Rattus norvegicus: one gene and its partner. The protein of the gene in region 1 purifies or fractionates together with the protein of each later gene. This does not show direct contact. Links are inferred from orthologs where the notes say so. Each region holds a gene or a part of one and is shown in the gene's direction. Other genes may lie near its edges. The genes, in order: Fbxo7 and Psmb4.

Region 1 (4,512 bases):
GTAAGCTTTGAAGGACATCAGATATGCGGCAAGAGGTTACTAATGCACCGTGCGACAACTGAAAGCTGTAACACGAAGGAGATAGAGGGGGTGGCTTCAAGTTTCTAAGAGCAGCGCCAAGGAAAAAATGCAGTAGGGATTGGTAATCCCACAGGAAAAAAGATCAGTCCTTCATGTCTGAGGAGAAAGACCATCAAACCCAGATCATCATGGCCATATTAATTAATGCAAGCTTATGTTTTGGTTTGTGAACATGGGCTGGACATAGGTAAGGTAAGGTTTTAATAGTTCAGGAGCAAGGGGGGTTTCCAGATGAGGATTTGGCAGGCGAATAGGCACTGATTACTGAAGCAGAACGCACGCACGCCAAGTTGGTCATGAAAACCTCTTGAAATGAAGACATGGTTTGCAAGGGGTTCACAGCGGGTTTGTCATAGCAACAGGTTGTCATAATAACCTTTTGTAATAAAGGCATGGGGCAGTACAGAGCCATTCGTAGTTATGTTTACAGGTGGGACATAGACCAATCCTTGAGAAGGAGAAATGTAATCATAAACAGGAATGGACCTAGTTTGCTTTTACTATAAGATGTCGTTTGAGCCTGAGATGAAGGCAGGCTGGTTTATCAAGATTTAACCTGGAAAGTGGAGAGCTATACTGTTGTGGCCTTCAAATCCATGGAGAGAGACCAAAGACTCAGGCTCAATTCAAATTTATATTAAGTGAGTTTATTCTTACTGCTAGCAGACGGCAGGCATCTTTAGAGCCAAAACAACATTCCATAGGGAGAAGGGGGGGGGCTAAGGATTAAGAGGGGGGTTTAAATTGGACATCAGAAAGGTGTATATTACAACTATTCACGAAATCCACAGCTGGGCAGGAAAACTGTTTTACTTTCCTCAATTGCTTCTTATCTTCCCTATGTAGTAATTAAAAGATCATTTCATCTGTTTCCCATAGCGATAGTGAGTTTTAAAGAAGCAAAGGCAGCTGTTAATACCTCACGGCCATTGTCCTATTCTTATCTCACCTGTAGGCCTCTAGGATCTCCCAGGCCGACAACAGCCCTTAAGGGATCCCTGGCTCCACATCCTTATCACCACAGGGGACCTATGTAAATTATAGGCAGGTCTGAGCACTAATGACCGGAATAGAACAGGCAAAACCAGGGCCATCAGGTTAGGGCGTCTGTCACGTCTGCACACTGTGGGCAGCGCTCGTTCCAGCGCTAAAGATCCTGCAAGCTGGGACCGAAAGAACGAACTCGCTCACCCGGGCGGAAGCGCACAGGGTGTAGCGTGGGCACTCGGCGCAAGGCAGCGAACTCAGCGCCTGCGCCGTGCGCGCCTCGCCCCCCAGGTGGCGCTGTCGCGCCCAGAGCCACCGATAGAGAAGCGCAGGCGCTCGGCACTCGGCTCGAGCAGAAGGCTCTAGGGGGCGTGGTGGAGAGAGCGGCGAGCTGGGATTCCTCAGGCGCGCAGGCCCGGAGCTACTTGCTTTCGGTTTCTCCCCGGGCCGACCGAGGCTTGCGGTCCGCTCACCATGAAGCTGCGCGTGCGGCTTCAAAAGCGGACCCAGCCGCTCGAGGTGCCGGAGTCGGAGCCGACGCTCGGGCAGCTGCGCGCGCACCTCATCCAGGACCTGCTGCCCACGTTGGGGTTCAGGTGAGCGGCGTCGCGGTCGCGGGGCTCGGGAATGGCGCGCGTCGGGCGGTCACATGAGGTCCGGGCCTCCGGGGCGTAGCTGGTCTAGACGCCTGTGACTGTGACGCTCGGCAGCTGAGTGCTGGCCGGGGTCTGGCTTTGGGAGACCATGGCCCAGCCTCCCCCTGGTGCCGCTGTCCACCATGGTGAGTAGTCACTTCCGGGTTGCTGTCACGGCCGCCCCGAGGGCGGGAGGGAAATTCGGGAAGCTTGGCTTGCGTTAAACCTCCCAGTGTAAACCCACTGTGGGTGGAATTTACCTTAGCGGTTAGGATACTTCAGTGGTTAAGTCGGGGAAAGCATCGTAGCTGAAGTGACAAACTTCTTGACATCCTACGTCGCTGTAATTTGTGCCACCGCCCAGGGCTACAGTAACAGGTGAGCGTGCATGTGCCAGACTGCACTTAACTGTAACTTTCTCACTGCAAGGTTTGGAAGTACGCATTCTTCGGGTCACTGGGCATTTTCTGGGTGAGAATGTTTGTTGCTTTTTCTCTAAAATAGAGGCTTGACCCTATAGAGCTTGCAGTTTTGTGGCAAGTTGAGAAAGGATTAGGTTCTATTACTAATTTATGGGGTTGCAGATGAAGCTTCTATGTTTCTGTAGAAGATATTTTCAGGACGTAGAGAGACAACTATATGGATGACCCATTTCAAGTGCTGAGCTAGAAATTTGAACTAGTGAAGAAAATAAAATTAGAAGATGGGCTCTGGTGCTTTTAAAGGGAAAAATGTTAAAAGAAAAACTCTTCCCGTTAATTGGCATTTTAAATAAGTCTTCCCCTTTTCACTTTATTTGTAGGGAATTAAGCAAAATGAAACTGATTAGATTGGTCACCCCCCCACCCCTCCCCATTAAGTAAGCCTGAGGTATACCTTTATTCTAGCGCTCTGGAGGAAGAGCTAGGTGTATCTTTGAGTTCATTCCGGACCAGCCAGTGTTACACAGTGAGACCCTGTCTAATAAAATAATGTTAGGCAAAATATTTTAAAAAGCCCTTTTTCACATTAAAAGAATTAAACAATGTATTCCCATATCGTATATTATATATATTTCCATATAATGGTGACCTACCTACATGTTACTCATTTGGTGTAAAACTGTTTTCTATGTTGATAACAATTGCCACTCCTCAGGCTTTGAGAATGCAATTTTTAAGGTATTTACAAATTGTATTACTTCTCAGTTAAGCTGGGCAGTTTTGAAAGGGTGTGAAACCCAGAAGCCCCTGTTAGTTTCTCTTGCCTGCTGTTTTCACAGTCGAGGTCGGTGTGAAAATCTGAAATTTTGCTCATTTGGGGTACAAAAGGGAAGCTTTAAAATGTGTCCATGTGACACACTTGTTGTTCTTAAAGAGTATTTTCTAAGTAAGCAAACCAAAGATTGGTATAAAACAGATTTTTTTTAAAGTTTGAAGCTTCCTCTTTCCTTTTTGTTTTTGTTTGGAGCTTCTAGAATTGCATTTTTTTTTGGGTGAAATTCCCCCAATGCCGGTGATTACAGAAAATAGGACCTTGGAAAAACATGCCAGAAAAGTGGGAGGGGAAGCTAGCATCTCTGTTAAACAGACGGCTCCTTATCTTGTCTACAGAAGGAATTGTTTGCTTGGGGACTGTCCCCTTTCCTGCCAAGGTTGACCTGGTGTTTTCATGGGCACTGGCAGATTTTCAGCTTCTTGCTGATCAGAACACTTTGCAAGCAGCAAGCAGAGCAGCTTACTGTCTGTGGAGTAGGAATAAATTTAACTCCAGTAACATCTTTAATTGATGAGAAAGGAAAGGATGCGTGTAAGAAAAAGGAATCGGGCTGGGGAGGTGGTGAAAGCTTTTGATGCCCAAGCCTGGCACCGGAGTTTGAAGTCCTCGCACTGATGGGAAGCCGGAAGTAAAGTGGTGTGTTAAGTTTAAGAAGCTCCTCGAGTTCAGCCATGTTGAAATACTGAAAAGTATATGCTCGAGGATCGATGAACATATGAATTAATGATAAGTATACCTTCCAGGCTATTGAAGTTTTAGTTAGAAGTCTGTGACCCAGGCATTTGATCAGAAGAACAAGTAATTTTGTCCCCTGCTTTCTTTCTTTCTTTCTTTTTTTTTTTATATTACATAGTGCTTTTGGGCACATAGCATGTACTTTAATGTATTCCAAATGCATTATTTGGAATATTGGTAGGTAGCTCTTACTATGCTCATCCGTCTTTCTTGGCAGTTCTGATACCCGATTTGCAATTACATTGAACAACAAGGATGCCCTCACTGGAGATGAAGAGACCTTGGCTTCATATGGGATTGTTTCTGGGGACTTGATATGTTTGGTTCTTGAAGATGAAATGCCGGCACCTAACTTACCTTCATCTACAGATTCAGAGCATTCCTCTCTCCAGAATAATGACCAACCTCCTTTGGCTGCCACCTCAAGCCAGGCTAACATCCCAGATGAACAAGGGAGTGATTCATCCCACGGACAGGTCACCCAATATGATGCCTGGACCGATGACAGTATGGTGGGTATTAAAGATGAAGAGATGGAATAGAGTAATTGATAAGGTATATTGACACTTCAGAGGAACTCCACACCGGTCAGGATGATTAGCATCAGTAAACTGTAGACTGCCCGTGGTGAACATGTTTGGTTTGGTTTGGTTTGGTTTGGTTTGGTTTGGTTTGTTGAGACAGGGTTTCTCTGTGGTACTGGCTGTTCTCTCTGCTCCTCACTCTATAGAGCAGGCAGGCCTAAAACTCAGGGCCTCTGCCTCCCAAGTACTGGGATTAAAGGCTGCACCACCACTGCCCTGCTTGAACATTTTCT
Region 2 (4,345 bases), on another chromosome or scaffold:
GGAAACATTCAGGATCTATTTAGACAGAGGGAGGAGGGAAAGCAACAAGAGGAGGCAGGAAGAGGCAGGAAGAGGAGGCAGGGAAGGGAACTGGGATGGGCACCAGTAAGAGCAGAGTAAAATGACATCAAGGGATGAAAATGCTGTAATGAAACCCATTATTTTGTATGCTATTGGGGAGAGGGGGTGACATTGCTCTACTGCCTCTAGTTCACAGCGGATTTCTTTTTCTTTTGCTTAGGAAATGGGAAAGGTCATTTGACAACAAAGAAATGTTCAGTTTTGTCCAAGGTTTCACAGGCTGACCAATCTACCACCTGTTTCAGGAAGACATAAGTGTAGCATCCTTCCTTTAAAAGCACCAACTCATTGCTTTGTTTTACTCACTATTGTTGCATGTGTATGAGTTCAGGGTGAATGTGGAGGTCAGAGACAAACATCGAGAGCTGATTTTCATCTTCCAAGGAGGCCCAGGTGACTGAACTCTTCTGAATGTAGTATTTGGCTAGGAAGCACTTTTACCCCTATCCTGACTTCCCTTTTAAATCAGGACCTTTCGGTTGTTCAGTTTGGCCTGGGCTCGGAATGTAGTCCAGAATGGCCTTGTACTGGAGGCACTCCTTCTGTTTCAGCCCTCTAAGTACTAAGATGAGATTCATTCTCTCTCTCTCTCTCTCTCTCTCTCTCCCTCCCTCCCTCCCCCCCACCATCCCCCTGTCCACCTCTCCCTCCCTTGTAAGTGCCTGGTGCCCTCGGTGTCTTGAAGAGGATATCTGTAACTGGAGTTACAGATGGTTGTCAGCCACCGCGTGGGTGCTTAGATTCGAACCTGAGTGCTCTTAACGTGAGCCGTCTCTTCCGCTTGGTTTGTATCTTTTCTACCCTCTATTGATTGTAACGGGGGAAACCACTGTATCTCATGCATCGGCTTCTTATCTATCGAATGGGTTGATAATTCCTGCTACTTGGGGCCTGCTTTGAGAAGTAAAGCTATTAAGTGAGCTTGGGTTCAGAGATTCTTCAAGTTTTGTGAGTACACGGTCGCTGTCTTCAGACACACCACAAGAGGGCATCTGATTCTATTACAGATGGCTGTGAGCCACGGTGTGGTTGCTGGGAATTGAACTCAGGACCTCTGGAAGAGCAGTTAGTGCTCTTAACTGCTGAACCATCTCTCCAGCCCTCAAGTCGAGTTTTGGATACTGATCCAAACAGGACGTGATAACAGGTCCTGGTGCTTGTCCCACGCGGCCTGCTCCTCCTGAGATGCTGAGAGGCATCCCTACTGCAGTGGGACGAGGACGCGACGTTGCACTTCCATCAGTCTTAGCGGTTACTCTGGATCAAGACTCCCCAAACCGCCTCATTAATACAGTGCCTCTGAGTCTTCGCGCAAGGAAGTGGCAGACAGGAAGAAGAGGGGCGTGGCAAACGACGACTTCCGCTTCCGGTGACGGGAGCGCTTTCATTTTTTCGGCAGTGGTGACTAAGATGGAAGCGTTTTGGGAGTCACGGACTGGCCACTGGGCCGGGGGTCCGGCTCCGGGGCAGTTTTACCGCGTCCCGTCCACCCCCAGCTGCCTCATGGATCCGATGTCTGCGCCCTGCGAGGGTCCCATCACTCGGACCCAGTGAGTCGCGCTCTAACCGCGCAGGGAAGGGGCGGCGGGCCGGGACGTGGGGACCTGCGGTGCGAGGGCCGCCGCAATCGGGGCGCCGGCCTCCGCGCTCAGAGACCCTTTTCATACTTCAGGAACCCCATGGTGACTGGGACATCCGTACTAGGGGTGAAGTTCGACTGCGGAGTGGTGATTGCTGCAGACATGCTGGGCTCCTACGGCTCCCTGGCTCGTTTCCGCAATATCTCTCGTATTATGCGAGTCAACGACAGCACTATGCTAGGTGCTTCAGGAGACTATGCTGATTTCCAGTATTTGAAGCAAGTTCTCGGCCAGATGGTGTAAGTCGTCTCCATGTGAATCGGACAACCTTCCGTTTATTATTCCCGTAGGTGGGATGGAGGGACTTGAGACTTTCGGTAATTGTTGAGACACATGTGAATGTTTGGAACACTTTTTGGAATTGGGGCAATCTGGGAGTGTAGAACTGCGTGTAGAACAGGAGTGGGTGGGGAACCTGTCGGTTATCACTCCTTTCTCATCCAATTGTATTTAGGATTGATGAGGAGCTGTTGGGAGATGGACATAGCTATAGTCCTAGAGCTATCCATTCATGGTTGACAAGGGCCATGTACAGTCGCCGCTCCAAGATGAACCCTCTGTGGAACACCATGGTCATTGGAGGCTATGCTGGTGGAGAAAGGTATTTGATGACTTCCTTGACCGCCTAAGCTAGCACCTATGTAGTGTCTCTTCAGTCTTTTCTTTTCTTTTTTTTTTTCTTTTTTTTTTTTTTTTTGGTTCTTTTTTTTGGAGCTGGGGACCGAACCCAGGGCCTTGCGCTTCCTAGGTAAGCGCTCTACCACTGAGCTAAATCCCCAGCCCCCTCTTCAGTCTTTTAAACTGTTTTTTTCCTCCTTTTTTTGTGCCCCACCCACCTTTAAACTGTTTTTTTACACTTCTTTTGGTATGTGTGCTTGTGTACTACAGTGTGTGCATGTGCGTGCACGTGTGTGTCAATCTCTTCTATATTCTGAATTCTAAGGATTAAATTTGGGTCATCAAGCATGGTGGCAAGTGCTTTTACCCACTGAGCCATCCAGCTTCCCTACCCTCAGATTCTTTGAGCCCAGAGAACTCCCATCTTTTAATTCTCATGGTCACATAAGAAATATAAGATTAAATGGATTCTTTGATCTGTTTGTCCCTCTAGCTTTCTTGGTTATGTGGACATGCTTGGTGTAGCTTATGAAGCCCCTTCACTAGCCACTGGTTATGGTGCATACTTGGCTCAGGTAAGTAGTGGGCCTAGCAACAGGGAAGAGAGAAATAGATGAGAAGCCAATGTTAGTCTATTTCCCTTGGAGTTCTGATAAGAGACAAGCTGGGATCCTAAGGCTGGGCAGCTGGTTTTCTTTGTATAAGGAGAATATGTTTACATTACCTTCCAGTGACAAGAAACAGTGATGGGAAGAATGGCCTTGTTACAGAGTAGAAGCCCTAGGACTCCCCTCTTTAAGAGGGTCTTAGCTGTACACTCTGTAGTAGTAGTGCACAGGAGACTGGGGCCAGGAGGACTGTGTGTTCCAGACCAGGCTCCATAGCAAGACTCCCATTTCAAAAACAAAACAAAGATTCTTTGGGTTGAGGCACTTGCTGCCAAGGCTGACAGCCTGCCTGGGATCACCATGGAACCAGCACCTCAGCTGTTTTCTCACTTCTGTATGCATGTGCACACACCCATACAAAAGAAATGTTGGACAAAAAGGCCAGCACCCAGTTCTTTTGAAACAGTGGGGAGAAAACTGTCATTCACTTTGGTGCCTGTTGACGTGGGAGGGAGCAGGTTGCCTTCTGTTAAGCCAGTGTCTTAATTTCTCCAATTCTTTGCCTGCCTCTGTAGCCTCTGCTTCGAGAAGTTCTAGAGAAGCAACCGGTGCTGAGTCAGACAGAGGCCCGAGAGCTTGTGGAGCGCTGCATGCGAGTGCTGTACTACCGAGACGCTCGTTCGTATAACCGGGTGAGAAAGGGGCTGCAAGGTATAAATTCTGGAGTTAGGCGTGGTGCTGCATGCCTAGTCCCAGCGCAGAGGTGGTGGGACTCTGCATTTGAGGCGATTTTGGTCTACATAGTGGGATGCTGTCCTAAAAACTAAAGTGCAAATTCTGGGACCACTGTTTTGCAAATGAAGGACAGCCTTCTGTTTGATCTTTGTCCGGACTGGGGTTTTCATTGCTCGCTTTGCCTTCTTGCAGTTTCAAGTTGCTACTGTAACTGAAAAAGGTGTGGAGATAGAAGGACCACTGTCAGCACAGACCAACTGGGACATTGCTCACATGATCAGGTAACTGACCTGCAGGAGATGGGCAGAGCAGGGAAGCTGTTGGCTTTCCCAGAGCTGTCCCTTCTGGAGGGCTCAAGCAGAAACTCTGGGTGGTTTTGGGGGGAGCTCCTTCAGAAGCTGAGACCTTAATACTTCACTTTTCCTAAATGTTTCTTTTTTTAGTGGCTTTGAATGAAATCCAGATGAAGTGTCCAGAGTTGAAGCTTGGCCCTTGTGAACGTGACTGTAGCTGGCTCAAAGGCAGACTTTTGTAAAAATAAATCAGTCCTTTGAAGTGTTGCTGAGTTGGGTTTTTTGTTTTGAAACAGGATCTCACTATATAAAGCCCAGGCTTACCTGAAACTCGGAAATCTGTCTGCCTCCGAAATGCTAGAGGTAAAAG

The links.
Region 2: the proteins of Fbxo7 (region 1) and Psmb4 purify together in Homo sapiens (affinity purification with mass spectrometry; 3 studies listed by BioGRID and IntAct, counting the BioPlex papers as one, with this or other methods). This does not show direct contact. The link is inferred for Rattus norvegicus from reciprocal best matches to the Homo sapiens genes FBXO7 and PSMB4.

What each region holds. Positions count from the first base shown.
Region 1 is NC_086025.1:19,722,178-19,726,689, reverse strand, and holds the start of Fbxo7 (F-box only protein 7), read left to right. Parts: upstream 1-1,509; 5' UTR 1,510-1,542; coding exon 1,543-1,664; exon of another isoform or gene 1,665-1,812; coding exon of another isoform or gene 1,813-1,849; intron 1,850-1,907; exon of another isoform or gene 1,908-2,081; intron 2,082-3,912; coding exon 3,913-4,207; intron 4,208-4,512. UniProt on the Homo sapiens protein: Substrate recognition component of a SCF (SKP1-CUL1-F-box protein) E3 ubiquitin-protein ligase complex which mediates the ubiquitination and subsequent proteasomal degradation of target proteins and plays a role in several biological processes such as cell cycle, cell proliferation, or maintenance of chromosome stability.
Region 2 is NC_086020.1:185,131,683-185,136,027, reverse strand, and holds Psmb4 (proteasome subunit beta type-4), read left to right. Parts: upstream 1-1,466; 5' UTR 1,467-1,491; coding exon 1,492-1,631; intron 1,632-1,753; coding exon 1,754-1,960; intron 1,961-2,175; coding exon 2,176-2,322; intron 2,323-2,832; coding exon 2,833-2,914; intron 2,915-3,522; coding exon 3,523-3,639; intron 3,640-3,874; coding exon 3,875-3,963; intron 3,964-4,125; coding exon 4,126-4,138; 3' UTR 4,139-4,241; downstream 4,242-4,345. UniProt on the Homo sapiens protein: Non-catalytic component of the 20S core proteasome complex involved in the proteolytic degradation of most intracellular proteins. This complex plays numerous essential roles within the cell by associating with different regulatory particles.